Alligator mississippiensis: one gene and its partner. The protein of the gene in region 1 interacts with the protein of each later gene in a biochemical or structural test. Links are inferred from orthologs where the notes say so. Each region holds a gene or a part of one and is shown on either strand. Other genes may lie near its edges.

Region 1 (15,453 bases):
CTTTCTGTCAAAAAAGTACCCAAAACGAGTTTAACAGGTTTTTGCCCAGTCTGCCCCAGTCAGCTAATTTGTGTGAAAATTGATGGCACGAGAGGCTGTGTTAAACTGGTTCTGAAACAATTTGAGGCATGGTTTGACACCAGCCCAACATAAGCATTTGGCTATGGGAGGTTTGTTTCTGCTGGGTTATGTTCTCTAATGGGTTCAGTTATTTTCTTCCATCAGCAGGAGCAAGTGCTATAGCTGTATACTAATGGTTGGAGATTATTATATTTTTCTAGACATCAGTGAGGCCATCTTTTTGCAAATCGTTCTTTTCTTGAGCCTTTTACTTCTCAGTTTGACTCCGCTGCCACAGTTTTAATCATTACATTGTAACTGTATCAGTGACTTATATGAAAGAGTCTCTATAACATAACATTGTATTTTGTGCCATCTCAGCTGCACAGTGTTCAGATGGGGTTGAATAATGTGTGTGCCATCTCTCAAGTGAGACAGAAAAAGGAGCCTGGGGTAGGGAGCCTATAATTATTACTGTTTCCAGTTAGAACTCTGCAGTAACATTAGTGTTTATGATCCACCATGAAGTCTGTACATCTGTACGTAGGGTGTCTGTCTTGTTTGTGTTACAGGCTATAGAAATTACAGAAGCTCTTTGCAAAGCGCAACTGCCAGCTGCTGAAGAAAGCAAGTCCAAGCTTTCACTGTTTTCATTATGACCTTGAGTAAGTCTGTTTTTTCTGTCTTGCTGTTTGCTTTGAACTTTTTTGCAAACCTACCTGCAGTGCTAATAAAACTACAGATTTATCCACTGCAGATGGGCCTTGACACAAGGCTTCAAGTGTTTTCACAATAAAATCCATATAAATGAGACAATATAGTAGCAAGCGGATGTTAGATAATGCACCCAATAACTCCTAAGTCAATCAAGAACAAAAATCTCCTCAAGTATTCCCCTCAGAAAGTCTGACCATTGAGGTCTTGCAGCTTGAAGTCCCAGTCTGCCGTTTCTTCCACGTGGATTGTGTGCCGTGCCTCTTCAAAGCCGTGTGAAGTGAAGGTATGTCAGGTCTTCCACATGCAGCAAATTATAGGATCATGGCCTGGGGCATTGGATAAACATGGTGGAATGACTGCCAGACACATCCTGTTTCCAGCCCCCAGGTCTCCAAACCCAGAGACAGTTGAAAAGAGCTGATCTTAAGTATGAGGATACAGAGGCGCTGCCTCAAAGTCTTGTCCACAGTTGGTTGGGTTTTTTGATCAAAACAACTTCCTCTATTGCTGCCACCAGTCTAACTTCACTAGTTGGAAAATTAGTGGAAACAGCACATGCAAAAGGCATTTTAGGCATCATGTTGTTGAGACCTGTGCTCATGGGCGAGATGTGATTAAAACGCTAGCAGCCATCCTGACCTGAATCAGGTTTGGCCCCATAGGAAAAAGTTGGCAAAAACTCCCCTCATGTTACATGTATCAGAATGTTTGTCTGCCTAGGAAAGATGGCATACAATAAGGATGTGAATCTTCTCTTTGCAAATGCTCAGTACGCACTGCACGTTCAGGCTGAGAGTGCCTCTGGATCAGGTAATCTAAGTTACCCTGGACATTATGTGGACACTAAGCTTGTTCAAGGAGTTATGCTGAAGTACCTTGTGTCCTGCAGTTTCAAACTAAAGCTTGCTAAGCACAAAGGACTTGTTTACATGCGGGAATGATTCGGCAGTAAGATAGGGTATGAATTTATGGAGTACTAGTTACTCCTGGCTAACTCCTTGGCTGGACTCTTACTGTGCCATAAATGTGAAGCTGCTTCTTCTGCTGACTCTATACTCATGGTATACCTACCCTAGCTTATTTCTCAGTACCTTCCCTGTGGAGACAAGCCCTGATGCAGATAGGATACCTAACCGAGTAAGGACAATAGGGATTAAAAGCAACACCTTAATTTGTATCCAAAAACGAGCTGGAAACAAGGCTGGCTCTAGGGGTACCAGGTATGGGTCTCAGTCCTGAGGGATGCTGAACACCATAGTCCTGATCCATAAAGTGTCTAACTTTACATGGATGACCTCAGTGCCTTCAGCCAGGAAAAAGCCAGACAGACCAAAAAGAAAAGGACTTGCCTGCAAATCGCTGTGCATTCTTAAGGAATACCCCACCAGCTATTGCAGAATTCATTTGAGTTACCACTGAAGTCTCTGGTAGAAATGTGCATAACTAAATCAAAAGGAATCTTCACAAAAAGTCCACCATAAGCCCAGGGATGAGTGAAACATTTATTTGTACAATTACTTTTACATTGCTTTGAAATGCTCAAGTGGAAGGTGCTGTATAAGTTGTAGAGGTTACTTTCCTCTCTGACTGCCAGTTTTTGGCACTCTCAGTCATATCCTTTCCTCTAGATGAGAGAGTGATTTGGAGGGAGTCTTGAAGCCCCAGAAAGGTGAAAGCAATTGCAAAATGGTGCTAGAACTCCTTTGGCAGCTATGGCATGTGCCACTGCTTGTAAATCCTGACTGTCCTGGTGTCAAAGGGTAAAAGGAATTGGCCTTGTGCAATGTGAGAATTGCTGATCTGCTCAGAGGTAACGCAGAGGTGGAAAGAGCTTTTTTAGCAACATGCCTGTGATGTCCCGAAGGAAGCCTGCTCATGGGGGCTCCTCTCTGGACATGAATGTATTATCTATTTTGTCTTTATTGCCATTTCTATTACGCTCCCAAAAGGAAATGAGGATTTGTAACCTAAAAAAAGAGTTACTGGTAACTTTCCAATGGTTTTAAATGAGGTTTTTTTCCCCTTCTGTCAACCAGATTGCTTTCCTGTTGTCTGGAAAGCAAGAAAATGGCACCCTTTGGAAGGAACATGGGAGACGTCCTGATGCATTGCCACAAGCTTTGAGAACTGAAGATCGTCACCACGTATGCACTACAGGGGACAATTGCTTAACATTTGCCTGTGCCTCTGAAGAGTACTGTATTTGCAAGTTTCCCGGGTGCCAAAAAGCTGTGACTGCATGCTGGAAGCTAATGTGTTTGTGAAGCAGAGCTCTGAATTATGCCAGCACAAACAACTCCCTTTGTGAAATCCATCCTCAGGTTAAAGGGTAGCTTACTGCCTATAAGCAAGACTGTAAAATATGTAATTGTTTATTCCACAAAGGGGTTGCTTTTTAAACCAAAACAAGTCGGGGGGGGGGGGTTTACCTTTTTAATGGTTATGTGACACACCAGTGTTCACTTTTTTTTTTTTTTTAAACCAATTGTTTTATTCTGGACCGTTGCCGCCTAAGGAGGCATTGAATAATGTTTTGGGGAAATTGCTAATTAGTGTTGCAACCAGGAAATGCCTCCTACGATGCTGAAACTGGAGAACCTTCATCCACAGAATGAGCAAAATAACCCTCCCCTGGTCCTGGGCTATTTATTGTAACAAAAGGTTCTTATTAGCTCAGATGTTTGTATAGACTTTTTAGTAGGCTATGACAACAGCCATTATTTAAGGTACACAGCTCTTTTAAGTAGGTTAACTCTATTTTTCTTATCTTCAGTCTCTCAAGACCTGAAATGTTCTGAAAATAATTTGAACATAAAAGGCCATATGAGCTAATAAACACGATACATTTGCTACTTAATGTCTTGCCTGCATATCTTCATTTCATACTTGACACATGCTTATTTTACTAAGGCTCTGTAGGACGTGTGATGTAGGTTTCCAGACTAGCCTGCATGCTTCGTGGCTGTATCTGCCTCCCTGGCAGGAGGCAGGAGTCCCTGCTTCTCGATTGCACCTGTGCAGAGGATGAGTTTTAAGCAGTCTTCCAAATTCACTTGTGAAGTCAGTACCTCCCTCCTTCCTCTGTACTCCCCCACTACCACTGTTAAGTGATCTAGACCCCATTTTCAAGGGTTATTGTTAACTGATTACAGTGGGGCACAGGAGGGCAAAGCGCATAAGCACTAAAACCACACAGCTAGCGCTATTGTATGGTTTATACACAGGTTTTACCCTGATGGGTTCCTGGTAGGTCAGATAAATGCAACTTTTGCCACATACTTTATCAGTGTAGAAGTGTTTTATATCTGCCTAACTCATTAAGAGAAGGTGAAAAAATATAAGCACTTCAAGTGTATTTTAAATGAGCATAACCTTTTACGTTACCTGCAGTGTTATGTAACTATTTAGTAAATGGATTAAAAAACTGGATATAGAAAACTTGCAGGAGGTTAGCGCTATGGTTGTACCCTGCATGCTTTTTACAGAGCTGTCACCTCTCCCACCTCCTTGCCACTGTATCTTTAATCTACTTCAGAACATCGCTTGTTGAGGCACAGGAGAACTGCAATGCCCGACAACTGCAAGAGGTGGGAAGTTAGGGTTAAAGTATCAGCATATTACCTAATGTACAAAACAACCCTGTTATCAACTGTGCTCTGAGGCTTTGTATGGAAAGTCAAACTATATCAGCCAGCTAAGAATGGGACTTATTTTTGGAAACATGACAAAGTCAGGGTGTGCCTTTTCTATTGTCTTCATAGACTATACTGTTATTAAAGGAAACAAGGCTTCCATTTAACAGCTGCCTGCTTTCAGCTTGGGCAGAGGTGTTCTCTTGGGTTCGGCCTGTCTAATTATAGGAGGGAAGCAGGTAGCAGAGAGGTTCATCTCTCTTTTTAGTAGTGTGTACACTTTCCATTAATGTAGACGGTATAGAGAAACAAAGTTGATAATCAAAAAGTGTGCTTCTTTTATAGGAAGGCCATCCAATAGAGAAGCTGATACACCCTCGGCGGAATTACCAGTTATACAGTGAAGACAGACAAATTAATCGTCTCGCGCATCATCTTTGTCCTTAACTGGAGTCCTGCTACTGACATCCTTGGGGTCAAGTCTCTCAGCTCCTAAAGAAAGCTGCTATGTAACCGATAGCAGTGCTCAGATGTCTGACAACACGTGACTACAGGATGGTAGAAGTGATCGGAACAGCTCAAACATACGCAGTGCACGTGTAGTATTGCTAATTAATCCTGTCTCAGGAAGACCAGTAGGATAAGTGCAATTCAGAAAGTTTTTCTTCTCTGACTTCTGTGCGTAGATGGTAACAGCGTATCAGCTGGGTCTAACAAGTTTTTCTCTTGTAGTTCACTTGCAAAGCAGTCATGAAAAAAATCAGTGTCTGTCATGGAAACTGTGAAGAGCTGCTAATAGGCAAAATAAACGAGTCAGGAGGGAAATCCCTGTGCTCGCGTCTGCTCTGCTGGTTGTGAGCGCAGAAATGGTAAGCTGCGTTGGGCACACGTCAAGCATGTGTGGAACTGCTTGCGCTGTTGTTATGTGATTCCTGTTTGCATTGGATGTCGGTTGCAATCGAGTGTGAACTGTGTTTAGCACGGCTCTTTGTAGATGTGTATGCAGCACCCAGAGATATTGGTGGCTAGATACCTCTTTATAAAAGCACACCATAAGAAATCTAAATTACCTCCAACTGACTGGCAATATTCAACCTTTTTTTTTTTTAGCAAAAAAAAAAGACTCAACAAATTCAGTTGAAGGACAAAATCTCTGCCCAAGCTGAGTGCTACCAAGGTCTGCGGTACTTTTCCACATGTCGCAGAACTGCTTTTGTGGGGAAACTCAGGCCAGTTTCCCCACAAAAGAAATGGAAGGATTTGCGATCACAATTGGGGAGGTCAAGCAAAGCAGCTCTCACGTCTGCAGCACACCCTGCCTTTTAACAGAGCAACCTGAACTGGTGCTGACTGGTTTGTCCTTGCCTGTGCTCACAATTCACTCTGCAGTAAGAGCCCTGCCTCATGTCTGCTCTGAGCTGGACACAGGCGAAGATCTATCATTCCCCTCTGTGATTCCCCCAGAGAGGAACAGTCGGTGAACTCTACAACTGTCATCTTGGTGAATTTTCAGACAAAAAAACCTGTGGTGGAGAGTGGGTAGTCCTCAGGAATTTACCTACTGTCCCCAGAGGACAGCATGACTCCCTCGTTTAAAAATACCCCACTCAAGAGCTCAGATCCAAAGGTAACGGGTTTAGGACAAGAACCTGAAAATGGAAAACCTCCATGGTGGTAATTTTTTTAAACCATGTGGGTCACTTCATTATTTCACCTAGGCTCACCATTCACCCTGCCATAGCACATAGAGCCAAGGGGTGCAACTGCATCCCCCTCGACTCCTGCTCCGAAGCTGAAAACCACCTGCCTGGCAGTAGCAGCAGCATTTCTGCTCAGGCAGCTGTGAGGGCATCAGCTGAATTCATGGCTTGTGAAAATCGACCTGCTTCCTTCTAAACTCTTCATTCCGCTGGTATGAACTACCCTCCCTTCTTTCAGTGGTCTTGATGTGCCCCCATTAAGAGAGCTTTTCTTCTGCCGTGCTGCTGTCTGTTTGCTGCTCCTGGCAACACAGCTCCAATTTCACAGCCCGGGAGAACTCATTCCAAGGAAGTTTTATTTGGCTTTTTGCTTCCATGTGAAACTCAGTCATCCGGCCCTAGGCCGCTGGCATACGAATTAACCTTCTAGTTTATTTTTCCCCCAGAGAGAAACAGGTGCTGCACCCTCTGAGGTGATGCATCTGCAGCTCCTTTCCCAATCCTAGACTGCCCATGCTGGAGGTGCTGGGCACCTGTTCTCTGCTGCACCGCTCAGCACCTCCTGTGCTCTTGCTCGGGCTTTTTCCTTGGTAAACGCCCTGTCCCTACAGGCTGCAGTGGCTGAATGGGGTTGGAGGGGGGTTCTTATACAGACAGTCAGATGTCTGGGTTGTAGCCATGTTGGTCTAGAACAGAAGGCAATCGGGACTCCAAGTAGAGATGATCTTTTATTAGACCAGCTAGATTTTTGCAAAACAAAAAGATGTCTTCAATTGCAAGCTTTCGGGCACAAACACCCTTCATCAGGCATTGGAGAAAGGATTGTAAACGTTCTCCTGGGTTGAAATGAAAATTCATATTTCATAGGACTCCTCGGGGCAGTCTGCTCATAGCTGGTATGAAGCCTCTCACCTCCTGTGAGGATGTCATGATGCAAATTACCTTGAAACAGGCAGGAGCAGGATCTCCGGTTTCAGGTGGTCAGAGTTGCTTCCTGCTTGGGGAAAATATGAAGATTTTCATTTTTTCTAAATCGGCTAAAATTCAGTATCCTTCATATGTCCGGTATCCAGGTTGAAGCCATATTGGTCTAGAGGAAAAGGTAATTGGGACTCGTAGTAGAGATGAGATCTTTTGTTAGACCAACAAGAGTTTTGCAAAAAAAAGGCTTTCATTGCAAAAATTGAATTGCAAGATTTTTGCCAAAAAAAAAACCCTTTAATTGCAAAAATTGAATTGTAAGATTTTTGCAAGAAAAAAAAGGGTCTTTAATGGCAAAAATGTAACTGCAAGATTTTTGCAAAAATCCTTGTCTACTAGCAGATCTCCTCTCTGCTGCGAGTCCCCGTTGCCTTGTGCAGACAGTGCCTTTCACGGGCGAGCGTGGAGGTTTTGTGCCCTTCCCAGCACAGGCGGGCGCGGGCGGGAGCCTTGTCCCCGCGAGCCCGAGGCAGCGCTGCCCTGGCTCCTCCCGGAGGAGGGAGGGGAAGGGCGGGCGGAGCCGGGCGCGGGCGGGGCGGGGCGGAGCGGAGCGGAGCGGGGGGCGCTGTGCGCTGCCGGGCTCGGCCGCAGGAGCCGCGGCGGGAGCGGAGCGGAGCGGGACGGAGCCGAGCCGCCGCCATGAACAGCATCAAGAGCGTGCCGGCGCGGGTGCTGAGCCGCCGCGTCGGACACAGCCTGGAGGCGGAGCGCGAGCAGTTCGACCGCAACCAGGCAAGGCCCCCGCGCTCCTCGGCCTCCCGCACGTGGGCTCGGCCCCCCGGGCCACGAGGTCCCTTCCAGCCCCGCGCCCCGGCGCCTCTCGAGCGGGTGTCCTGCTCCCCTGGGAGGCGGCTGGCCCCCGGGCACCGAGGGCAGGTTGGCTGGCCGCTGGCTAGCCCGGGGTCCGTTGGCACCTGACCAGGCGCGGCGCGGTTTTCTTCTGCGCGAGGTAGAGTTAGTCTCCGGTCAGGAAAGGGTGCATTTGTACCTTGTAGACTAACCCGACTTGAGGGAGAGGAGTAGAAACAGGTGTGGGGGGCATTGGTTGTCGCCGTGTTGGGCTGAGGACACAGGCAGGCGAGGTTCTTTGGGTCCATGTGATCTCTTTTATTAGACCAACAGTGCGGGCTTGAGACGCTGTCGTCTACCAGAGTAGAGCGATCCCGGGCACTCGCGGTGGGTCTCCTGCTGCCCGAGGAGGTGGCTCGGCCCCCGTGTCCTCCTGGGCACAGCCAGCACTGAGGAGGCCGGGCACGTCTGTAGACTCGTTGACTAACCAAAGCATCTGTCTACTTTGGTTAGTCTGTAAGGTGCAAATCTACCTGGGCCTTCCCCTTGGCTGCAGATGAACTATTTGCCCACCTCTCTTGTACGCCCTTGACAGCTTAAAACTCAGGGGTAGAAACGCCTGTGGATTTGCAGTTGTGTTTCTCAGCTTACGTTCGGTGGAGAAGCAGCCTGTCGGGACTCATGTTTTTGGGTCATTTTGGAGAAGAGCTTTAACAGGCCCGATGTGTGGGCCGGTCGTGTTATGGGTGGGACAGCTGGTCGTGTCATGCCTTTAACCAAGTACAGAGAGAGCACTTGTTCACGGCAAGTCTGTTGGATTTGCTGGGGGGGAGATCCGTGCTGGTAGCCACGTTCGCTGCAGTTCTGCCGAAGATGGAGAGCTGTGAACTGCGCAGTGGTCAAGAAAGGCCGGCTGCAGCCTAAAAAGGACACCAATGGGATCAAATAGTTTTACGCAACCTAAGTTTGCTGAGAGTTTTCCCTTCTATCGCTGAACAAGAGGCTGTCATTTCTAACTTGGCTGCCTGCGTGCTGCCTTCGTAAGTCATGTCGGCTATCCGTGCGCCAGTCAAAATCCAACGTTTGTCCACATCTCAGATAATTAAGAGATCAGTCCGGTTACAATCCATAAGGTAGAATACAAGGCTTTTGAAAAATATTTCAACGCTAAGCATAAGGGCAGTTACAAAATGTGGACAAAAGCATCCATATCGTTAAGGCCTTGCTAGTGCACATACTGGTGTAGAAAAGCATAATTACTCCTCCTGGACGTGCGTAAATAGCTCTGCGGATGATGCACAAAAGCAAAGTGCCCATGTGCGTTCCTGAATCGGGGCTCGTGGTGCTGCTTGGGCTTGGGGGAGAATCCCCTTTCCCTTCATGTTGACAGAGCGGTTCCCAATAAGCAAACCTGGTTGTGCCGGTTGCGGTGCTGATTAGAGAGGACTCTGCCCCTGCCCGTCGCTCGCTTTGTGACCCTGGATTTTGCGTCTTTCCGGGATGTCTCGGTGATGGGGCAGCCATGTTTGCTTGCTTGTTTGGCTTTGGCTCGAGCGGAATAATCGCGTGTACAAATGTGACGTCGATTTAAGTTTAAGCAACAGTCACGTGAAACGGTGGCTCGAGCTGAGCCGCGTAGCTTCCCTCCAGCCCTCCGCCCTTGTTGCAAAACCAAACCGTTCCCCCGTAACTCAGGTTCCAGGAGAGGAGTGTCTTTTCCCCTGCGCACGAACGCAGCTCCTCCCCATGTTAAGTTGGGGCTCTTGGCTCACTTGTCACTGATGCCGGTGGCTATATCATTTGAAAGGATCGCCCAAGAGAACAGAGTCAGCCCCGCGGAGGATATTTTCCAGTGGTGTTATCTCCTGGGCAAAAGCTCCAGATGTGAGCAAATTACCGAATAGAAAGTTTTATGGCACCGGCCTGACAAGGGACACCTGATCCTTTGGCACACAGCTGGGCCTCTGAAGGTTAAGGGAGCAGCAGCAGTAAAGATTGCTGAACCAGTAGTCTGTCTCCCCACAAAGCAGCTCAGGTGAGTGTGCTGCGAGCTGCCCTTCCAGTGACTTTGGTCCTGCCCTGCCACGATCACCCTACTTAAAAAGGAGGCTGTCCCATCCTGCCGTACCATAAGCCGCTCGTTTCTGTAGACTAAGCACACAAACCCTGGTTTGTTCCACTCTTGAGCCTATCGAGGGTGCCCTCTGGGAGGGAAAGGTCCAGGATGTTAAATGGAGCCACTCTGGTCATTGTGAAAGTGCAAGGGAGTTAGGCGCCCTCCTTGTGCCAAGTGACTGAGAGAGGGAAGAGCAGGAGCAAAAATAGGTGGGGATGCCTGGCTTCCCAATGCTTTGCACCTGGGGGATATGGGGCAAGTCTGGGAGCATTTCTGCCTCCTTTTCATTTAAGAAAATAACTGCAGCAGTCATTTGATCTCAGGTGGCAGGCAGGATGGCCCAAAGCACTGTGAATGGGAGGGGGAGGCCACAGAGAGGCAGGGCGGGAGGTGAGGACTGAGCGCTCCTGCAGCAGCTAGTCATGGACAGGGCTGTCATTTCTACTGCTTCTCATGTGCTGCAAACAGGCCGGTCTGCCCTGCGGTGTGCAAACCTGCTTCCTTCCCCTCCCTGGGCAGCTCTGCAGAAAGATCTGTAGAGCAATCAAATCCTTCTCAGACAAGGAAGTAGCTAGTTGGTTTCTCCGCGAATAATGCACGCAGCCTCGTGGCCTTGCCTCGATGGATCCCAGTTTGCTTTTAAGCTGACCTGCTGCTTCAGACTATAGGCTGCTGTGTCTTCAGGATTCCTGCTCAAGGTAGCCTGTTCCCCACGCCCTGGAGAAGGCAAGGCATGCAACAACGTGCCATGGACGTGCAAAGCTACCAAAAGCCCTGGTGCTACTTTCCTCCTAGTCTCCCTTCTGCTCTGGATCGGGATGCTGTTGGGGCCGGAGGGTGCAGTAAGGCACGTGCAGTCACCCCAAGACACTGCCGTATGCCTGACCTAGATGTGCACACCGGGTATTGGCTCCCAGCCGTCCAGGGGGGTGTCATGCGATCACAGTAACACTGCACCCTCGGTCTGGCACTGGGGCCAAAATCTCATCCATCGCTAGGAATAGTCAGCGCTCCAGTGCTGGCTGTGTTTTGTGCCGGGCATACGCAGAGGTCCGTCCCCCGCCCCAAAGAGCCAGCAGTCTAAAAGATCGTGGGCACCATGCCCCGCGTTGCTTCCTAGCCTGCTTACTGCTTGCTAAATCTTTCTCCCCTGCAACAGACCAACTTTAATGTTAGGACTGTCTGCCACAACGGCTGCAACCCTAGGAGCAGAAAGAGGTAGAGTAGTTAGCTGTGTTAGTCTGAAGTCAGGCAGAAAGGCAGGGGAGACTTCGCCTATAAGGTGCAATTCTGCCCTGTAAGTGTAAGACCAGAGAGAGAAAATTCCCCTGATGATTTTTTTATTACTATTTTGTGCATCTGATGTCCCGTTGGATCGGGTCACTCCCTTGGTTTCCCCTGTAGTCTTTGTGTGGGTTTCACACCCAGACGCAAGGGAGGGAGAAACAGAAAAATAGAATCATAACCCAGTAATTAGCTGACGTGACGGGTTGCTGCCCAAAGCTAAATTACTCATCCCACACTGGCTAGATTTCAGATGGATTGAAGTTTTGTTTGTGTGCCCACTGGTCTGTGTAGGACCAGATTTCCAAATAACTTTCTGGCAAATAAACCTAATTTAGTGTCTACACACAGGTATCTTGAGAAATTGTTTTCACTATAGTAATCCTCTTGCAAAGGGCATGGATAGTGATGCCCCATATGGTTAAATCAAACCTTAGTTCTGTCTGGAAGGTGCAGGGGTCCCTTTAAATGTATTGCTGCTGCAAACGATGGTGTAAGTAGGGTAGCTGCAGGAAAGTGTCTCAGTTAAATTTGTGCTCGGAAATCCCAGACGTCTCTAGCTAATACCGGTACCGCTTGTACAAAACTGACCTCCTTTCTTCGTACCACGACCTGACCAGCCCAGGCCCCTTCACCGTCCTATGGATGAATGACTGAGCTCCATGAATCAGAAGTTGGCAGCATCCTAAAACTTCAGAGCATTAATCTCAGCAGCTGCCGTAAGTAATGACTAATTATTGACTTTATGTCAGGTGGAGCTCCAGCGTGTCACGTGGAGCAGGCGGTGCCCCTCGCTGTGCCACGGGTTTGACAGTGTTCTTGCAAGCATTGGCCGGAGGCAGAGCCGGTGGTTTTTGCTGAAGAGCGTGTCCCTCAAATATTCCGACGTTGCAATCGAGAGACTGAAACCGAGTGATCGGTTCCAGGAACTTGTAGCAATTGGCCCCTCCCGGCTTTTGAGATTATTTGGGAATGGAAATTATACATTCCTCGCCTCCTGGTACGGGGCCTCTCCCGTCACTGGCTGTACGCATCCTCCGCCCAGACCGGCTGGGAGCAGGTGCCAACAGGGAGATGACGCCATCCTGATGGAAATGAAGCTTGTTTGGATGCAGGCGCCGGGGCCTGAGCACACCTTCCGTTTCATAATGAAATTTCTTCCTTGCACAAAGCCGAGCGGTGCCTGTCCCTCTCCTGACTGCCTCTGTTGCTCATCCGGAGTCACTTCCTTCGGGATAATATCTATTCCCCTGTGGTGTCTTCTCCCTTTGCAGGAACACGCACTTTAAAAGCCAACACTAGCTGTGAGATGGGATAGTGCAGCCCAGTCCAGCAGGTGCTGGGAACTCCAGCTTCCTCCTCTTGGAGTTCATACTACTTATAGAAGTATTTTTTCATGCTGTTTGCTCCTTGTACCCAAGATCATCATTTCAGGGTTTTGTGCACTTAGCTCAGCAATGTGATGTTTGGGCTGTTAGTGCTTGCAGGGCACAGGGAGGCTATTTGAATTTGAAATATTTCGGGCAGGAGTTCCTTTGACCCGAAGGTTTGTGGGGTTCCAGTCCCCATCCCCAAAAGAAAAGCAATGCATTGGGCCAGATGTACCCAGAGGGCATGTCTTCACACACCCACACTGGAGATGTCAGTAATACAGGACCATCCAAGAGCATAAAACCCAGGAATCCTGACTCCTAGTTTCCTGCTTTAAAGTGTAGCTGGGACAGAAATATATTTGTATTGCCACTGACTTTTGCACTCCTTTCACTGTCGGGGATGAGCATCTCAGCTAAATTAGAAAGTCCTATGAACTAAGCAGATTTCCAGAATACAGGGTGTGTTTCCCCGGGTGTCGCTTATCACATCCCTTAATTTGCTTGCTTTTAAGAGGTCATTGGAGGCAGGGCCGATTTGGCAAATGCAGTGCCAGTTACAGCGAAAGGTTTACAGAGCAATATTAGGCTACCAACAATAAACCGTGAGGATGGCCTTGCAGGGACTGGACGTCCACCTCCACCGTGTAAGGCTATAGCACTTCAGTGTCTCAGGCTGGCTTGTTCCAGAGCCTGTGGTGCCTGCCCTGGGCAGAACAGGTGACAGGATGTGGGTGGAAGCGTTGGGTGGTAATTAGACGCCTGGAATGAAAGAAAGGGGAGGTGAGCACCTGGCCTTTCTCATTTGCACTCCATAGTCGTGAGCTGTACTCATTGTGTTGGGTAGGTTGTTGGGTCTGAGTAATAGACTTGGCCCATTGGGGAAAGTTGCTGGACACGTGGACCCCATTTGCAGTACAACCACAGCCTTGATTAGGGAAAGAAAGGGGAGGGGTGGCTCTGACTCCAGTGAACCACTTAGTAGGGGAAGCAGGAATCCAGGAAGATATCCATGGCTCAGCTAGAGGAAATCTAGGAAGGATGAACATAGCATTAATATCCATTTGATTGATTATGCAAATATGAGGTTTCAGCCCAGTCGAACACTGACCTAGTATGGCACCTCTTACCTAAGCCTCTCAAAGCACTCGATAAAGGGTAAGGGATGAAACCTGGCTGGGAGGCTGGTGGTTATGATCCCCATTTCACAGCTGGAGGAGTTGAGCTACAACTATTTTTTGCCGAGAGATACACGGGACATGTTTCAGAGTTGGGGAGGGGGCCCTGACACCCCATCCTGGGCCTAACCTCAAGACCTGCTTTCAGGTGTCAGGTTGTTGTATCTGCAGCCCTGGGCTCCTCCCAGCCCTTCTAAGAATCAGCTTCTAATTTTGCTGTCTGCTCTGCTGTGGTTTTGCACTGCAAGAGTAGTGGTAGGCACAGAAAAGAGAGGGTGTCTAAGTCAGTGGTTTAGGAAGCCAAAGGCAGTCCCACCATCATCTAAGTGCAGTTGTTGATGTAATCTGCTATTTGGGCCACAAACACACTGCGCGATGTTGTCTACACAGCTCATCCTGTCAGCCTGGGTCTGCTTGCTTGGAGGGAAAGGTGTGATGAGCAGAATCCCGGCACAGCCGGATGTTACTGGTAGAAACAAGCAGCGGTGGAGGAGCAAACCACGTTCCCGGGTTAATGGGTCTGCACTGGGCACAGGGTTGAACACCCAAGATGGATAGGAGGCAGTATAGATGCGCACCTTATAGACTAAGATATAGAGAGAGCATGAGCTTTTGTGAACTCGAGTTTGCTTCATCAGATGCTGTGAAAGGACCCCGTGGAGCAGCGTAGAAAGTTCAGGGAGGGATATGAGCACCAAAGCTGGGGTGAGAGGGATGAGATGTCAGGGCTGCTCCCTCTGCGCAGATTTGGAAAGGCAGTACCACGTCGCGGCAAAGTGATCTCTCACATTACAAATGTGAACAAAGCAAGCCCCAGTTCTGCAGAAACCCCCGGGGGTCAGCACATCGGACCTGCCCTGCGATGCTGTTTCAAGTCAGACCCATGGCTGACACTGCAGAGATGCCAAAAATAGGGCAGCGAGGCACAGGGAAACGCGAGGTCTCTAGTGATGTCTCATCAGAGGGAGAATGCAGACTCATTCATCGAAATGCCAGCCACCGGATCTGCCTGCTCTCCCACCCGTATTTCCGCAGAAGGGAACCTGATGAATCAGAGAGATGCCCCAGCTGACTGGCGAATGCAGTAATCTGGCTGATCTGGTCCATGACGAGCACGAGGCGAAGCACAGGCTGGTAACTTGGCTGCAGCACCCTGCCAGGTCTGGCTCGAGGAGGCCTCTCCGGCTAGCCTTCCTTTGGGCTTGGCCATGCTTGGAAATTTCCCAAACACATTCTTCTGCAGAAACGCCCCAGGGGGGATTTGTGTGGCATTTCGGTGGAGGTTTGAACCCAAGTGATTCGTGTGGATCAGAAACTTGGGCACATGGCCAGGCATAGATGAACCTTCCCCAGCCGGGCTCTGAGGGCCCTGGCTGCCCCCTCTCCACCTTTCCCAGGCAGGCGGAGGAGCGGTGCTACATCCTGAGCTCAGGTTACCCCCGCGGCCACAGGGACGGCAGCCAGCCCGGAACCCAGCTAGACCGCCCTCGGATCTGGAGTCACGCAGCACCTCCGCCTGCCTTCGTTTTCGGAGGCCGGGTGACTGTTTGTCAATAGTGCATGAATGAGCCTCTGTCTCGCTGCCTCGCAGTGACGTACAGGCCTTCTCGCACGCGCCGGGCCGAG
Region 2 (16,065 bases), on another chromosome or scaffold:
ATCTGTTAGGTGCCCCCCCTTCCCACTTGGGCTTGGGGCTAGTGCAGTGCAGGTGGCAGCAAGTGTCTGGCCCCAGTGCAGCAGAGCAAAAGGGCCTTAAGTAGGATGGAGGATGAGGACAGGGGCCTGCTCCCACCTTGGCCTAGCAGTGCAGATAGGACGTGGCCAATGCAGTCCCCCCTTAGTGCGGATGGGACATCTCCTGAGCTGGGGCACACTTGCTGTGGGGTCCCTAAGGGTGGTTTTGCCAGTTTCTAGCAGGATTTTCACTGCATAAAACTTCTCCCCATGGCTTGAGAACTAGACCACACTGTTCTGCAAATTCAGATCCCAGAGGGAACAGCCCTGCCTGCATCTGCAGATGCCCCAGGTGATAAAGTCTATGCAGGTGCATTAGACCGGGCTTGCTGTTGAGTGGAGGAGTCCCAGAAAAGGGTAGGAGTCTCTTACTGAGGACCCTTCTCTAGCCAGCGCTGTCAGAGCTCCAGGAGCTACGATTAATCTCTTCTTCTGCCAGACCCGCTGGGAGGGGAGTGCGCGTGTGCAGTGGAGTGCGATGTGCTGGTGGGCAAAGGGGCAAAGCAAAGGGTAGTGATGCTGCCAGCCAGGTGGGCCCAGTCCTGCCTGGGGCAACACCTCTGCGTAGCCCTGAAACCTGCCGGTCGGTGGGAGGTTTCCCCTGGAGTCGTGGTGCTGCGCAGAACCGGTGTCCTTTGTGTCTGGGGAAGAGCTGCTGGGCCCCAGGGGCAGGAGCATCCGGGTTCAGCCAGGAAGAAGCAACATATAATAAACGCTTCCAGAAAGACATTCGTATTTCAGCTTCGTCACTCCCCCCTCTCCCAGGGACAGACTGCACCAGGCAGCTGCACCACAGACACCCTTCCAGGCAAGGGGCCACTGCTCCTGTCCAGCCCAGCCAGGCTCTGAGCCACTCTGCCAGAGGGACAGCATGCCCCAAACCCCATGAGAGGCCCTGGAGCTAATCGGCTGCTCTGAGATGGCATAGAGTGCACCGTCAGCAAGTTTGCAGATGACACCAAGCTGGGGGGAGTAGTAGATACACTAATGTAGGGCTAGGATTCAGAGAGAACTAGACAAATTGGAGGATTGGGCCAAAAGGAATCATAGGAGACGTACACCCAATGGAAGAGAGGGGCCATCACCAGGGAGGACTACACCTCAGTTGCTTGGGGCTGCAGGGGGCGGTCAGGAAGGCCAAGGCGGAGATGGGACTGGGACTAGCGACCCGGATCAAGGACAACAAGAAGTCCTTTTTTAAATACATAGGGAGTAAAAAGAAGGTAGTAGGTAAATGGGGCCTCTGCAGGACCTAGTCAGGGAACTTCTGGTGGGACTAGATGTGTTCAAAATCAGCAGGTCCTGACGATCTCCACCCCAGAGTGCTGAGGGAATTAGCAGAGGTCATTGCGGGAACCCTGGCATGGCTTTACGAGCACTCGTGGTGCCAGAGGACTGGAAAAGGGCGGAAGGAGGACCCAGGAAACTATAGGCCTGTTAATCTTAACCTCAGTCTTGGGGAAGCTCTTTAATTATCTGGGTGCACATCTGCAAGGGGCAAGCAGGGGAGATGGGTTCATTTGAGGCAGGTCCTGTTAGACCAACCTGGTGGCCTTCCATGACCAGGTCACAAAATCCTTAGATGCAGGTGTTGCGACGGACATAGTCTTTCTGGACTTCAGGAAGGCCTTCTCATTAATAAACTAGGTGACTGTGGCGTTGATGCCTACAGTCAGATGGGTCGCTAACTGGCTGGAGGGCCGCACCCAGAGAGCGGTCGTGGACGGGTCATTTTCAACCTGGAGGGCTGTGGGCAGTGGGGTCCCCCAGGGCTCGGTCCTCGGACCCGCACTGTTCAACATCTTCATCAGCGACTTGGACAAGGGGCTGAAAAGCACCTTGTTCAAATTCGCAGATGACACTAAGATGTGGGGGGAGGTGGGCACGCTAGAAGGGAGGGACAGGCTGCAATCAGACCGGGACAGGTTACAGGGGTGGGCGGATGAGAACAGGATGGGTTCAACACTGACAAGTGCAGGGTGCTGCACCTGGGGAGGAAGAATCAGCAGCAGACCTACAGGCTGGGGAACTCCCTTCTCGTCAGTGCAGAGACAGAAAGGGATCTTGGAATCATTATTGACTCCAAGATGAACATGGGCCGACGGCATGGGGACATGGTCAGGAAGGCCTTGTTGGCATCCACAGATGCGTCACGAGCAAGTCCAATGTGATCCTCCCCCTCTGTGCGGTACTGGTCAGGCCGCAGTTGGAGTACTGCGTCCAGTTCTGGGCACCGCACTTCAGGAGGGATGTGGACAGAATGGAGAGGGTCTAGAGTGCCACCCGCATGACAAGGGGGCAGGCCCCAGGAGGAGAGGCAACAGGACCTGAACCTGTTCAGCCTCCACAAGAGAAGGCTGAGAGGGGATCTAGTGGCCATCTATAAATAGACAAAGGCAGACCAGCAGGCAATGGGGGAGTCCCTGCTCCCCTGAGCACTACCTGGAGTAACAAGGAATAACAGCCATAAGTTGATGGAGGGTAGACTCAGACTAGACATCAGGAGGCGCTACTTCACAGTCAGGGCAGCTAGGATCTGGAACCAACTTCCAAGGGAAGTGGTGCTGGCTCCTACCCTGGGGGTCTTTAAAAGGAGGCTAGATAGTCACCTTGCCGGGGTCATTTGACCCCAGCATCCTTTTTTGCCCGTGGCAGGGGGTCGGACTTGATGATCTGCTCAGGTCCCTTCCGACCCGACCAACTATGAAACCAGCTCCCCCGCCCCACTCCCACCCTTTCCTTTACCCGGCTCCCGGCCTCCACTTGCCAGCAAGCCTGTGGGCTCCCAGCACAGCAGCTGCTTCCGAGTTGCCCCTCCAGCCTGAACGAGGAATGAGTGAGGAAGGAAAGGGCAGCACCTCCTGGGTTTGGAGCTGTCAGTTTATTTGTAACAAGTGGCTTGGACAAGGTCACAGATACCAAAGCTGGGGACACACAGAACAGCCACAGGCACAGCCCTCCCCAGAGCCAGGTGTCCCTTCTCTCCCAGGTGACAGCAGCAGTCAGGGCCGGCTGGGGAAGCCTGGGGGCTCCTTCTCTCTGCGGGGCGCAAGCAACAGCCTCCCTGGGGCTTCCCAGAACAGAGTGAAGGGGGCTCTGCCAGCAGCTGCAAGAGTGAGGTAGGCCCCACTCTCTGGCCCCTGGAGCAGCAAAGGGGCAGGCAGAGCTGCCTAGGCAGAGCTGTGGGCTGCCATCCCCTCCTCCCCGCACCAGCTCAGCCCCAGCTGTGCAAAGTAGCACACTCCTGTCCTGCCCTGCTGGGCAGCTCCACACCCAGCCAGCAGCCTCCTGCACCCCAGAGCCAATGCCCTGCAGAGCTGGCCTGGGTGGGGCTGGAGAGGGTCTCCTAAGGCAAGGCTCAGCCCATGTGCTGTGGACTTTGCCCCGAGTTCCCTGCCAGCTGTACCCAGCCCTCCCCACCCACCAGGTCCTTGCAGACAGGTGGCTGAGCACATGCCCAAGAGGTGATATGGTGTCTACGCAGCCCAGCAGGGAGCAGATCTCAGGCTCCTGGACCAGGCCTCAGCACAGGCTGGGATCCCAGGGCTGGGGGCTGAGCCACAAGGGGTTGGGTCAGACCTACCCAGCACAGAGCCAGCACCTGCCTCTGCTACCAGCAAGGAGCTTGGGCAGGGGGCCAAAGCCTTGCTGGGAAGAGTCAGCCACCCAAGCTCAGCATCCCCTCACAGCAGCAGTCATCAAGGCAGCTCCATTCAGCCTGGAGCCAGGGGGCGGGAAGCTCTTAGTGAGACCCAGAGGACAGGCTCCCTGGGGGAGGCTCCTCCCTTGCCCTGCTCAGCATCTCCAGCCCCCACACACCACCCCAGGCCAGGCCAGGCCAGGACCTCCTGCCCACCCAAGCCCCTGCCCCAGCCCTGCACATCCCAATTCCTCACGCGCTGAGCCGCAAGCAGACGGTGATGTCACACTCCTACCTCCAACATCACAGCCAGCCTGGGCCCAGGCACCAGCTGGGGAGGGGGTACCTGCAACAGGGGCCTGGCAGGGAGGAGCCCCAGCCCAGCCACCCCACCCACCACCGAGGGAACCACCACGGTAATAAATAAGTGTAAAAAGACCAACGCACCCTTTAAGCAAAGGAAAACCAGGGGGACAGCGACAGCCACCCGCCCGCAGGAGGTGCTCGCGGCGGGGGCAGCACCCCTGCTGGCCACCACGGGCCCCACATGCTGCGCGCATCCAGGCAAGCTGGTGGGGGGCCGTGCCCCTGCGGCGCTCCGGCTGGGCTAGCGCGCCAGGGGCGTCTGTTTGAGGGAGATGAGCACCGAGCGCATGCGGGAGACGTCCTTGTTCTGCTTGCTGCTCTTGGGGTTGAAGTCGCAGAGCTGCGCCACCTTCTCCCACTCCGTGCCCGGGTCCTCCTCCCTCGACTCCTTCAGGAAGGCTTCCTCCGAGGCCCTGTGGGGAAAGGGGGTCAGCCACTGTCTGCCCACTGCCCGCAATGCCCCCGTTTCCCCATGCCCCCCATCCCTCGGGCACAGGGGCTCTGCAGTCTGGTTAAGAACAGGCTCCTGGCAGGTGCACAAGCCCAGGGCTCCTCTGCCACCCCAGAGACCCCCCCCAGGGGGGTGGGCTCATAATGCAACCCCCATGCAGCCGCCACTTCACCCCCTTCCTCCACACCTTGCAGCTCCACTCGCTTCTGGGGACTTCACTGTGGGAGGTGCTGGATGGACACCCCCACCAGACCCCAACAGCCCTGCAGACCCCCACACCAGGCAGAGGGAAATCCCCAACCGGAAGGACAGAGAAACAGAAAGAGAGAGGGAGAGAGCGAGAGAGAGGGGCACGTACACATAGCCAATCACATCGGCGTCCGGCTGCTGGTAAAAGGCTTTGTCAGCAATCCTAGCCCAGGAGCAGCAGACAGAGAAGTAGCAGAGTGACAGGCAGGCAGGTTAGACAGACAGAGAGGGCAGGTGTTAGTGCCCGCGCACCGCCGGCAGGAGCACGCCCCGCTCCACCAAGCAGAGACCCCGGCTACGCCCGGCCCCTGCGTGGCAGGCAGTGGGGTCGGGCTGACGCAGGACCCGGGCCCCCAGGACGAGGCCTCGCACGGGGAGAGATGCCCCTATTTCTAAGCACGGCTCCTCCCTGCTCCAGGAAGGTCCCCACCTCCCCCCCGGCCACACCTGTTGTTAACCCGGTTCTTCTCCATCTGCTCAACCTGCCGCAGGTTCCACTCCTCCAGGTCCTTCTTGGCCCTCTCGCGCCACTCCTGCTCCAGCACCTTGGAGGCAGCGTCTGTGGCCGGGGCAGAAGTCGGTCACGGCGGCGCGGGCGGCTCCGCCCCAGGGGGAGGTGGGGGCGCAGGCTGGCTCCCGCACCCTGCGCGCGCCCCTTCCCCGTGCTCACCCAGCTCCTGCAGCCGCTGCTTTTGCTCCTCCCTCCACTTGCGGAGGCTCTCGGGCTCCTGGGTCAGCCGGTCCGCCTTGGCGATGGCGGCGTAGGCGTCCGTGGGGCCGTTGGACTCCTGCGGGACACAGCCCCCCTGCCCCGCTGAGTGAGCACAGCCCCCCGGGGCAGCGGGCTCTGCTCGCTCTCCCTCCCCCAGCACCACAAGCAGGGGGCTGCTCGCCTGTGCCCCCCCCGCGGCAGCCCACACAACCCAGGTGCCCACGAGGGGCTTGGTGACATCACACCCCTGTGATGTCACAGCCGCCCCCCGCCCGTGGGGGTGCCGGCACCCCGAGGATGACACGGCGGGCGCGGGGCGGGGGCGGGGGCGGGCGCGTGAGTCAGGGCAGGGCGAGGCGAGGCTGGAGCCGCTCCCGCCCGGCTCAGCCCGGCTCGTACCTGGAAGAGGTCTCCGTTGAGCGCGGTCGCCCCGTCCGGCGCCCCGGCTGCACGCGAGGGAGGGAAGAGGCGGCGGGTCACGGCGGGCAGGGCGCCCCCCCCGGCCCCGGCCCCGGGCCCGGCCCCCTCCCGCGGGCAGCCCCCGCCGTGCCCCGGCCCCAAGCGCGCCGCCCACCGTCCTCGTGCAGCGGCTCCGGGCTGCTCCCGGGCCCGGGGTCGCCCTCGATGCCCGCGATCTCGCTCTCCTGCTGCGCCAGGAAGGCGGCGGCGGGGTCCTCCTCGGCCGCGCCCGCGAACAGCCCGAACTCCTCGGCCATGTCTGCGCCGGGCGGGGCGGGGCCGGGACGCGCGCTGGCGTCACCGGCGTGACGTCATGGGCGGGGCCGGGGGCGACGTCACGGCGCGGGACTGCGGCACGCGCGCACCAGCCCTGCCAACGGCTGCCTGAAGCCTTCGGCCGCTTCCGGAAACCTCCCAGCGGCTTCGGGTGTACTGTCACGTGACCGTGGATAGCTCGGGTGTTTCCGGAAACCTCCCAGAGACTTCGGGCGGGCGGTCACGTGGACCGCTCGGGTGTTTCCGGAACCCTCCCAGCAGCTTCGGGCGGGTGGTCACGTGGAGCGCTTCGGAAAGCCCCGAGCAACGACGCCGAGGGGAGCGGAGGAACGCCCTCCCGCGACCCGTCCGCCGTGGGGGGGGGGGTCAAAGAGGACCGGAAGTGTAGCGTCACTTCCCGAGAGTGACGGAGCGGCGGGTCAAGAGGCGGTAGCAAAATGGCTGCGCCGGCGGAGCGGGAGCTGACGGCGGAGCAGACCGAGAAGCTGCTGCAGTTCCAGGTGCCGCGGCCGCGCCGCTCTCGGGGCCCGGGCGGGGGAGGAGCAGGAAGGCCCCGCCCCCCAGGGTCTGTAGCGCCGGGATTGGCCGCTGGTTACCGGGGCAACGCGGCCCTGGGCTGGGGCCTTCCCCCCATGACTGGGCCGCGCTCCCCGCGCGCACGTGCCCGGCCCGGCCCGGCCCGGCCCACAGCGCCTCCTCTGCCGCCGCCGGCTGCCGCGTGGGGTTGGCCCGCTCGGAGCGCGGCCGGCAGCGACTCCGGCGCGGGCCGAGGCAGCGTCAGGCCGCCCTGCGCAATCCAGTCACGGGCCGGGAGGGGGAGGGGAGCGGAGCTCGGGAGTCGCGTCTAGCGCAGCCCCGCTCCACGCAGGACCGGCCCGGCCCGGCCAGGGCTTTGTCTACCCGCCGTTTCACCACCTCCGAGGGTGGAGACCGCACCACCGCTCTGGGGAGCCTGCTCCAGTGCTTCGCCCTCCTGGAGACTGTGCTGTCCTCATATCCACTCTCAACTTCCCTCGCTGCAGCTGGAGCCCATCGCTCCTTGTCCAGCATCTGCCCCACTGAGACCAGCCCAGCTCCATCCTCTTTGCAGCCCCCCGGCAGGGAGGTGAAGCTGCTATTCAGCCCCCCTCAGTCTTCCCTTCTGCAGACTCAGTCAGCCCATTTCCCTGAACCGCTCCTCACCAGTCCTGTCCCCAGCCCACAACCATTGTCAATGCCCTCCACTGGACTCTCTCCAACGTGTCCACATCCTTTCTGCAGCGGGGGCCCGCAGGTGGACACAGGACTGCAGGTAACCTAACCGGGGCGCAGCATAGGCAGCCCGCCCGAACCTGGTGCAGGTATGGCAGGGGACCCGTAGTAGCCACCGTCCCGTTTCCATGAAACGTTTACGGATTCGCAGAAGGTTAGGGCTGGAAGAGACCTCGTGAGATGACGCAGTCAGTACATGCTCAAGCGATCCCAGGGAAGGGCCCCCCCCGGCTACTGAGGAAGCTAAAACCCCCGTCGTCCGTGCCTGTCTGACCATGGGGTAAAATTTGCAACGTGATGCGTATCAGAAGACCAGAGACATCAAACGGGAACCCAGAGTGTCAAGAATACATGTATTAATATTGGAGCCAATCTTCTGTTGCAAATGAATCAAGAGATCAGAAATATATTTGTGCCCCGTTGTGTATTTTGCGACAGGAGATTGGCTCTGGTGTTTGTCTGTGTTCAGAAGATGAATGAAAAGCAAGAGCTGGCAACTTCCACGCAGGGCCTCAGATCTAAGGATGAGTGCGTCAGAGCGAGCGAGGGGTGAAGGTTGAGAACCACTGATCTAAATTAAGGGCTTTGAGTGGATCAAAAGACCTAACATTTCACCCAGTAACCCAAGCAGATAACTTGTGGTTGGTTGAGCTGTTTGTTAATCTCCGCTGTGCTCAGCGTGACAGCATGTAACTACTATGAATCGTGGTCCTTGGGCCTCCAGTCATGAGTTGAAGATCCCGGGTGATATATCAAGGTGATATTCCAGTTGTGATCAGACTACCGATGTTTTCAGTCTAATCCTCCTGAGTCTCCAGACGGGTTCAGCACATCTGCAGCTGCTGCTTGGCAGCGGGGTGACCGTCGAGGCGGTGCTGGGTTGGAGCCGTTGTTCAGACCCACGTTGCAGCAGTAAAGCTAAAGTGTGGGATGGGGCTTTGACAGACCAGGGTGTATTTCCCACTCTGACAGACCTCAAATGCCATTCAGTATTTATGGCCGTTCTGTATGCATACTGTTTTGCAGAGCCAGGAACATTTAAAGCAATGGAGCTAATGCTTCTAGACCTCAGAGATGGTCCTTCCTTCTACTGCACCCTTTCCTGTTTCTCAGTTACTCTGTCCCAACACATAGTGGTCAGTAGGTGTTTGAAGCTTAACTGCTGCTACTAATTATTTGCTTTTCTGTGTCACTAACTGCTGATGAACTTGATGCTTTACGCATCTTCATTACATTTCAAAATCCCCTTGTAGGCTAAGTAAATACAATTATGTGCATTTTATTTAGGGGAAACCCAGGAAAGGAGAGAGGGACTTACCTAAGGTCATGCAAGAAATGTGATCATTCTGATTGTAAGGTGTGTGTGGCAGAGGGTTTCTTTTACTTCAGATCATCCCATAGCAGCCACAGTGGAGTTCTGGTGCATGCTAGCGATTTCTGACTTTTGCTGCAACACAAAAAGGCAATAGTCATCATAAAACATGCATGTGTCAGGGTGGAGAATAAACCTCAACTGTTGCACACACAGTCCTGGACTTAACCCACAAGAAATCCTCCTCCTCATCCTCACTGTCAGCTTGAGTACAATGGAGGCAGTTTGCCCTGTGATGTGCACTATGGAAATAAGTAGACAGAGATGGTGGTCTCTCCAGAGAGAACACTGAATTTCTCTTGAAAGGTATTGGGCCCAGCTTGTGCAGTTCTCAGAGACCACAGGGATTTCTTCCTCTGAGCAGTTTTTCAGGCAGTTTTTAATTGGAAATTATTAACCTGCCATTAAGGCTGAAAGACTATCATGAGGACTGTGACAGATGGTGAGTAAACTGAACAAGAGGTAATTAAAGTGTTGCTGCTCAGTAATGAGCTGAAATATCTCAACTCTGGTTGTTTTCAGAATTCATAGATTTCATAGACATTAGGGCTGGAAGGGACCTTGGAAGATCATCAAGTCCAGCCCCTGCCCAAAGGGCAGGAAGTCAGCTGGGGTCATAGGATCCCAGCTGATTCCTATAGCTTCGGGTGGTTTGGGTTAACTGCATAGTTGTGTACTGCCCATTGTCTTGGCAGTGCTGTCTTGGAGTTGCCCTGCTCATAAACATTTGAATTCATAGTTCTTTTCAAGAACATTTTGCTTGAAGTGAATGATTCTTTCAACTTCACTTGTTTTTGTCAACGGCTGTGGTAGGCAACTCTCAGTCCTCTGGATCATGTACACAGAAGAGGTCTGGTCAGGTGTCCTTTAGTGTTAAATGATGCCCCCGTGCAGGGTAAACTACTTCCAAGTCACAAACAGTATTAGCGCTTGCTGCTCAAAAGGAAGTGTAGATGTTTCATGTGTAAGTGATTCAGCTGTTGGTTTGTGCAGAAACAAAGCTTTACTCTAGTCATGTGAATTCCATCCTGTTTGTCAATATTGCCTTCTAAATATGAAGCCAGTGTTAAAGGTTACTGTCGTTGTTACCTTGCTGAATCAGGACAGATAGCACCAGCTGCTCTTACCACTTTCACTGCTGCCCACAGGGCTGTGAAAATAGCAACAGTGGAACTGTCAGGATCACGTCTTTCCTTCTGCTGCCTTGGAGTGCAGAAAATGGACCAGAGCAGGGACCTGTGGACTAAGGGTATTAATGAGGGGGGGGAGGACTGAAAGGAAGTAGGGACAAAATACTGAGATCTTTCTGGGCAATGAATCCAGCTCTTCTCAATCCCAGCTTTAGTATCACTTACTTTGTGATCTTTATAAAGAGCCATGAATTCTTCCCAGACAGCTTGCACAATGCTGCAGAGGCTGCAGGAACTTCTCAAAGGAGAAGTCCCACAAACCTCACAGCACCCAGCTTCAGTGTTTGTGAACGTTGCCTGCAGAGCACTGGGAAGACGTAAAGGACAGCGAGTAGTTCTGTGTAGTGCTGTAGAGCTACAAGGCACTTCATGCACACGCGCATTCCCTACTCACGATGTAAACAGGACGAGGTGCAGGACAACAGTGAAGAGGAGTGAAGGGTGTGGGAGCTGGTGAGGGGAAGAGGAATTGCTTGATGGGAGTAGTACAGCAGGAGTTGAGTTTGGCATTTGAGGCCCTAAACAGCGTTCTCGTTGCAGCACAACAGAAGGAATGCGAGAGAGTGAGGGAGGGAGATTGAGGAGTGAGAAGTATCTAAGCACAATTTGAAGAGATGGAATTGGGATAATAAGCATGGGGGAGGGGGCAAGGGGAGAAATTAGTGTTTTGCAGCAGCAGTGACTGGGAGGAGAAAGTAAAGTTTTGCTTTCTGACAAGGCTGTGTCTTGGGACAGCTGTAGGGAAAAGCTACGTGTGAATTGGCTTGAGCAGTGCAGAGTGATGGGAGCTAGAAGGAACATGAAGCAGATATTGTAGGCTCTCACTGTACAGTGTCCATGATGGCATTTCTGGCTTGACTCTTGCAACTTATTTAAACTTCTGTGTGGCAATGTAATGCTACTGACCACTGGCTTTCTTCCACAGGCATGGGATAGCTTCATTTTCAGCGAAACAAGGAGAAGTTTGCACAAAAGAATATAGTCTCTACTAAAGGGAGCGAGAGGGAGGGATTAATTTGCTTGGAATCATGATTACTGAAAGTCAAGTAATGGAGCGCTAGGTGAAGACATCTTTCGCTTAAGGGGGTGGGAAATAGGGAAACTCAGTAGCAAACCCCTCTAATATGCCGGGTGCTGCTGCAAACCTCAGAATCTTTGGTATGCACGTTTATGACACGCAAAGAAGCTCTCGCCGAAAAAGATTTGGCAAAGGCTTTTGTGCTGCTAAAAGTCAGATGTTCTTCACCCTTGGAAACATAATTCTCTGGAATTTGGCAGTGGGCTGGGAATTAATAGCAGTGCCAGTTGTAGGCTGCATGGACACGCATCTTTTATGTAGTGTTTCAACGCAAGCCTGTCCAGGGAAGGAGAAGTTTCCAAACAGTCCAATGTACAAAACCTATACTTTTCATGCTTGCCCTCTTGAGCAAATATCAGCATCCTCTCTCCACTGCTTCGGAGTGAAGTGTCAGTATTTTAATTGACATCCTAAGGCTGAAAGGTACAAACTGGATGAACCTGCTTTGCAGTATAACAACAATCTCAATGTACCAAAGTCCAAGTGACGTATAGAGAGAGATGTTGAACTTCTCAGGTCCTTATGTTTTGTTGCATAGGGTTTCACTGTTCTTGGTCTTCTGGTGTTTGAAAGCCCCTTACCCAGTATGTCAGTTTTTGAGCTCCCATTCCACATGGAGGTGATCTTTTTGAGCCCCTCTGACAATACTGGTTTTCTGGGATTAGTTTCTTATCTCTATTTATCTAAAGATGGAGTAAGAAGTAAAACAACTGGTCTAAAAGGGCCCATCCTCTGACTTTAACGCGAGACACACTGCACATAGATATTCCGGTGATGGAAGCTGTAAAGGTATCTGAGGTAGGTAAGTAGGCACAAAAGAAGTAGTGATTTCCTCTTTACAGAGGAACATCACTGAGTGCTTAAAACCAAGGATGTTTAAAAATGTGCTTATCTTTTCTTGCATGTGGCTAGTAGAGCTTGCAGGAAAGCCCTTCAGGTGTGGACCATTGTACAGTCCACAGAAAAAAGCCCTGGACCGTAGGAGTGAAGTCCAAATTAAAGTGTCTTGCTTGCTTCAGGCTTCTTATGTGGCCTCTCTGCAAGAGTGAACTAGAGAGGGTTCCCAGAGCTTCAGAGAAATGGTATTAATGCTTTGCCAGTGAGATTTGTTTAAAAATGGCTTTTGACTGACAACTGAACTGTAGTCATACAGCTCCTAACTCTAGGGGAAGATATTTTTAACATCACTGAGCTGATTTCATGAGCACCTGAACGTGGCGGTGAGTGCTGCTTCGTAAGGGGATAGCAGACGTGGTCAGCATAGGAGGCCGCACCTATGCAGCCAGGTTTGGAGGACTGTTCCCAGCAGGCAGGTTTCCTGTGTGCAGCAGTGGTGGGAGGACTGATGCAGACAGTGTTTGGGTGTCTTTGGCGCTATGCTTTCTAATCTGTCTGGGGCAGCTGTCAAGGTAGGCCTCCTCAGTGCTGTTAAGATGCCCAGCCTGGCACTGCCCTGTGCCGTGCAGTCATCCTAGGTGACATAGGCAACAGTGCTGTAGGCTAATCTACACTGTTGGAAGCTGCCACTTTGGACAAGGCCCCAGCTTTACCCAGGAACACAACTGTCCTGCCAGAGGGATGGCCAGGGAACCATGTGGTGAAGCGCTGCTTGCCAAAGCCTTGCTTAACCAGCTTTGTAAGCCTCTACAGCTGCCCCAAGGATTCAGTGCTCACTGAGTGCGATAATGTTAGAAAATGACAGTGGTGTATAATTGCTTTCCAGCCTGAAACTGCAACTGCATTTGCATAATTCAGAAATGGAGAGAATGTTCCATCATGCAGCCTCGTTAACAGTGCCTAGTCGCGACTCTGATCTGTAGAGACAAAGGTGTGAATGTGTTTCTGCATCTTGTAAATGTGCAAACGCTGGCATTAAAAGAGGTGGTGATCAGGAGCTTTGCAACACATGCTGTAGGAAGTCTTAGCTTCTCCCTCCTAAAGCCCAGCTGCATGAATGGCTTGCTTGCCCAGGGTCAGTGTGCATGTTAGTGCCTGCCCAGGGTCATTGTTTGGGAAGGGCATCCAGAATGCACGCTTTCCTTACAGCTGCTTGTTGTGTACCTGTACGAGCTGACAGCCAAGGGTGCCCCTTGGGAGTCTGGCAAGGAAAATGTTGAGTGTAATTCAGTGACAGCAAATCTTGTAAAAGGGATCTTAAAACATACCTCGTGGTCGTGAAAGTTGCTGCAAAGCAGAGAGCATATTTCAGCAGCAAAGCAGGCCTAGTTTGACTTGAAGATGTACGAGCAAGAATGAAAACCAGCTGGAAATACCAGATTTACATGAAACACCACAGCTCAGGGCCCTGCTGCGGATGTACATCTGAATAAATCAGAGTGCATTATGACTGAAACTTCTCCTTCTTAATTGACCACAGTCTAAGTGGCAGAAGAGTTGAATTTCTGTACCTTTCTCTCTAACGCTGGGGAAAGGTCTGATCTCTGGCAAATAGCAGGGAGGGGTAGTGAGAGTGAAGCAGAAGAGTCTCTGGTCCAGTAGACAGGAGAGAAGAGGGAGAGAAGGCAATGTCATGGGGCTGGAAGGAGGAAGGAAGTGAAACAAATTGATCACAAGGTACAGAGCAGAGTCCTGACCTGGTCCCAGGACTAAATCTCCAGCAGGGATTTTGCTGTCCAGGTGAAGCCAGTAGGTGTAGGTAGAATCCAAAATGCTGAAATGAGGGGAGAAAATCAAGCACCTGGTACATGGACCATCCTCTTCCATGTGGAAACTGTAGCTCCAGCCTCCCAGTAGGTTCTCAGCTGAACAGCCAAACATCACGTTCCTAATGATCTTGGGAAACGAGGGGAGATCTCAAGGAAACCCAAGCAGGAATATCAAGAGCAGGCTAGTGTGGATGGTGTCTCCAGAGGCTGACCGAAAGGGTGGATGTTGCATTCCTGCTTTCTCCATCCCAATCCGGGCATGTGCCTCTCGCAGAATACCAGGGGCCCCTAATGCAGCAGGGAGCAGAGGTGCCCTGGCCTTGGCCAATCTCTTTAGGGCTCAAAACTGTTTTCAAGTGCCAAATAGGAAGGGAGTTTGAGAGAGCTTGTTGCCCTGAGTTCGCAGCCAGGACTCCGGCGGGAGGCACGGTGTTCGTTCTGTTTGGCTAAGAGACCCCTTCTGCTTGGGCGGCTTCCTCCACAACAAACAAGGTCCAGTTTAGCATCAGGACTGCAGCACCAAGCAGCCAGAATTCACAGGAGCTAGACATACCTGGTAGATAGAAGTGCAAAAGGTGGCCCCCGGGAGCCTGGATCCCCATGCACCCTGATGGGATCCCATAACCCAAGGGGAGGAGTGAGGAACATGGGCTTTTCACCAGTGTAATTCCCTGGCATCTGCCCTCTCTACCCTTGCCTAGGAGGCTAAATTATGAGGCCACCGGGGGTCTGGTGAACTTTTCTGGCCTCTGTGGTAGGAAAGAAATGTGTCTTCAGAAGCTGAAATATTGCGTCCCAAACTTGCCTTGCAAGGGATGACCTGGTTGATGTGACTTATACAAGGGGGAGGCAGACTGAACCCAGGGTGCCTTAGCTTAAACATGCTATATAGGTGGAGAGGTAGATCAGCCTCATCTGCCCACATCCAGGGGAAACTAGTGCTTTTGGAAATAGTCTTGCTCCCTGCTTACCAAATGGCAGGAGACTAAGTGAAGCAGAAGGTATCCTGCCTCCCTTTATCTCCATGTTACTGGTGTCATTACTGATGTCACTCATAACAAATGCAACTCTTCCTGAGTGACAGGGCTGCGAGCCTGGAGTTCAGTGCTTTACAGTAATGCAGTTAGATGCTGGAGCAGTGGGTTCAGTTTGAAAGCACGAGGTATTTTAGAAGAGTTTGTAGTGGTTGGTGGGGGGAATGAGGTGCGTTTCTGGCAAAGCGACAGGCATGGTGGCTTCAGCAAGACTTTTTGTCCCCATTCAGAAGTTATGCAGATTCAGCATGTCAGAACATCCAGTACAGTACTGCTGCGCTCTTGTGCAGAAGCCTCGATTAGCGGCAGCTTACTATGCGTTCCAAATCACTGTTGAATTAGTGCAGCGAACCCCTGGTGCTGAGGCCTGCGGGTGGTTTTGCGCAGGTACTCGGGCTCAGATTACTTTGTACTATGCTTAGGGCACTACCTCTGCCTATGTTGGCCTTGCTTTTTCACTATAACATCTACCATAGAACTGGAGAACAGTACAGCACCACTAATACCACTCATCTCTTCTTATTCTCTCTCCACTTCCAGTTGCAGTGAGTTGTGGATGAAGGAAAGGCCTTCCCTCACTGCCTGGAAAGGAGGAGCCGTAATGGCAGACATTTGAGGAGAATGGAAGAGAAGGCTCACAAGCAGTTTGTCAACAGGGCTAGATGCCGATAATCACTAAAATACCTTGCTGAGGCCCGAGGATCACTTAATGTTTGGAGAATATAAAGTCCCCTTGGGGTTAGGCACTCACTTCGCTCTCGCAGTATTTACAGCCATTGGCTGACTTTTATGTGCAGTAGCTTGCAAGTGTTTGTGTCTGAACTGAGAGTGGAAATTTTGGTTTAGGAAGAAGAAAAGTTCTACCTGTCACTTCTTTGTTTTTTCAGTCACAACCCATGTGCAAATGCTGCACTTTCTTTGCATTCACATTTTTTTTTCTCTCCTTCTGCAGGACTTGACTGGCATAGAGTCTATGGACCAATGTCGTCATACTCTGGAGCAACACAACTGGAATATAGAGGTACCAGCTAGAATTATCCTCCCAGCTGATTTTCTTTCCAGCTGCCTAGACACCTCTGTTTGAAGGCTCCCAAAGCAGAATTTCTTCTCTTGTATTTGCCTGAGCAGTGATCAAGGTTGCTATATTAAAAAAGAAGATGCATTTACATACTTTTGTATTGCGCTCCACATGAATAAGTTTCTTCGGCTATCATTAAGAACAACTTTGGCTGGTGTCTTAATT

Evidence for each region.
Region 2: the proteins of HIP1R (region 1) and CLTB form a complex in vitro, tested with the Homo sapiens proteins (2 studies listed by BioGRID). The link is inferred for Alligator mississippiensis from reciprocal best matches to the Homo sapiens genes HIP1R and CLTB.

Annotation. Positions count from the first base shown.
Region 1 is NC_081833.1:5,415,017-5,430,469, forward strand, and holds the start of HIP1R (huntingtin-interacting protein 1-related protein), read left to right. Parts: upstream 1-7,647; 5' UTR 7,648-7,729; coding exon 7,730-7,822; intron 7,823-15,453. UniProt on the Homo sapiens protein: Component of clathrin-coated pits and vesicles, that may link the endocytic machinery to the actin cytoskeleton. Binds 3-phosphoinositides (via ENTH domain).
Region 2 is NC_081832.1:79,158,690-79,174,754, forward strand, and holds CLTB (clathrin light chain B), read right to left. Parts: upstream 6,312-16,065; 5' UTR 6,213-6,311; coding exon 6,071-6,212; intron 5,943-6,070; coding exon 5,896-5,942; intron 5,591-5,895; coding exon 5,455-5,590; intron 5,344-5,454; coding exon 5,232-5,343; intron 4,948-5,231; coding exon 4,894-4,947; intron 4,498-4,893; coding exon 4,326-4,497; 3' UTR 2,941-4,325; downstream 1-2,940. Other genes in the region: FAF2 (FAS-associated factor 2), read left to right, coding at 6,669-6,731, 15,775-15,843. UniProt on the Homo sapiens protein: Clathrin is the major protein of the polyhedral coat of coated pits and vesicles.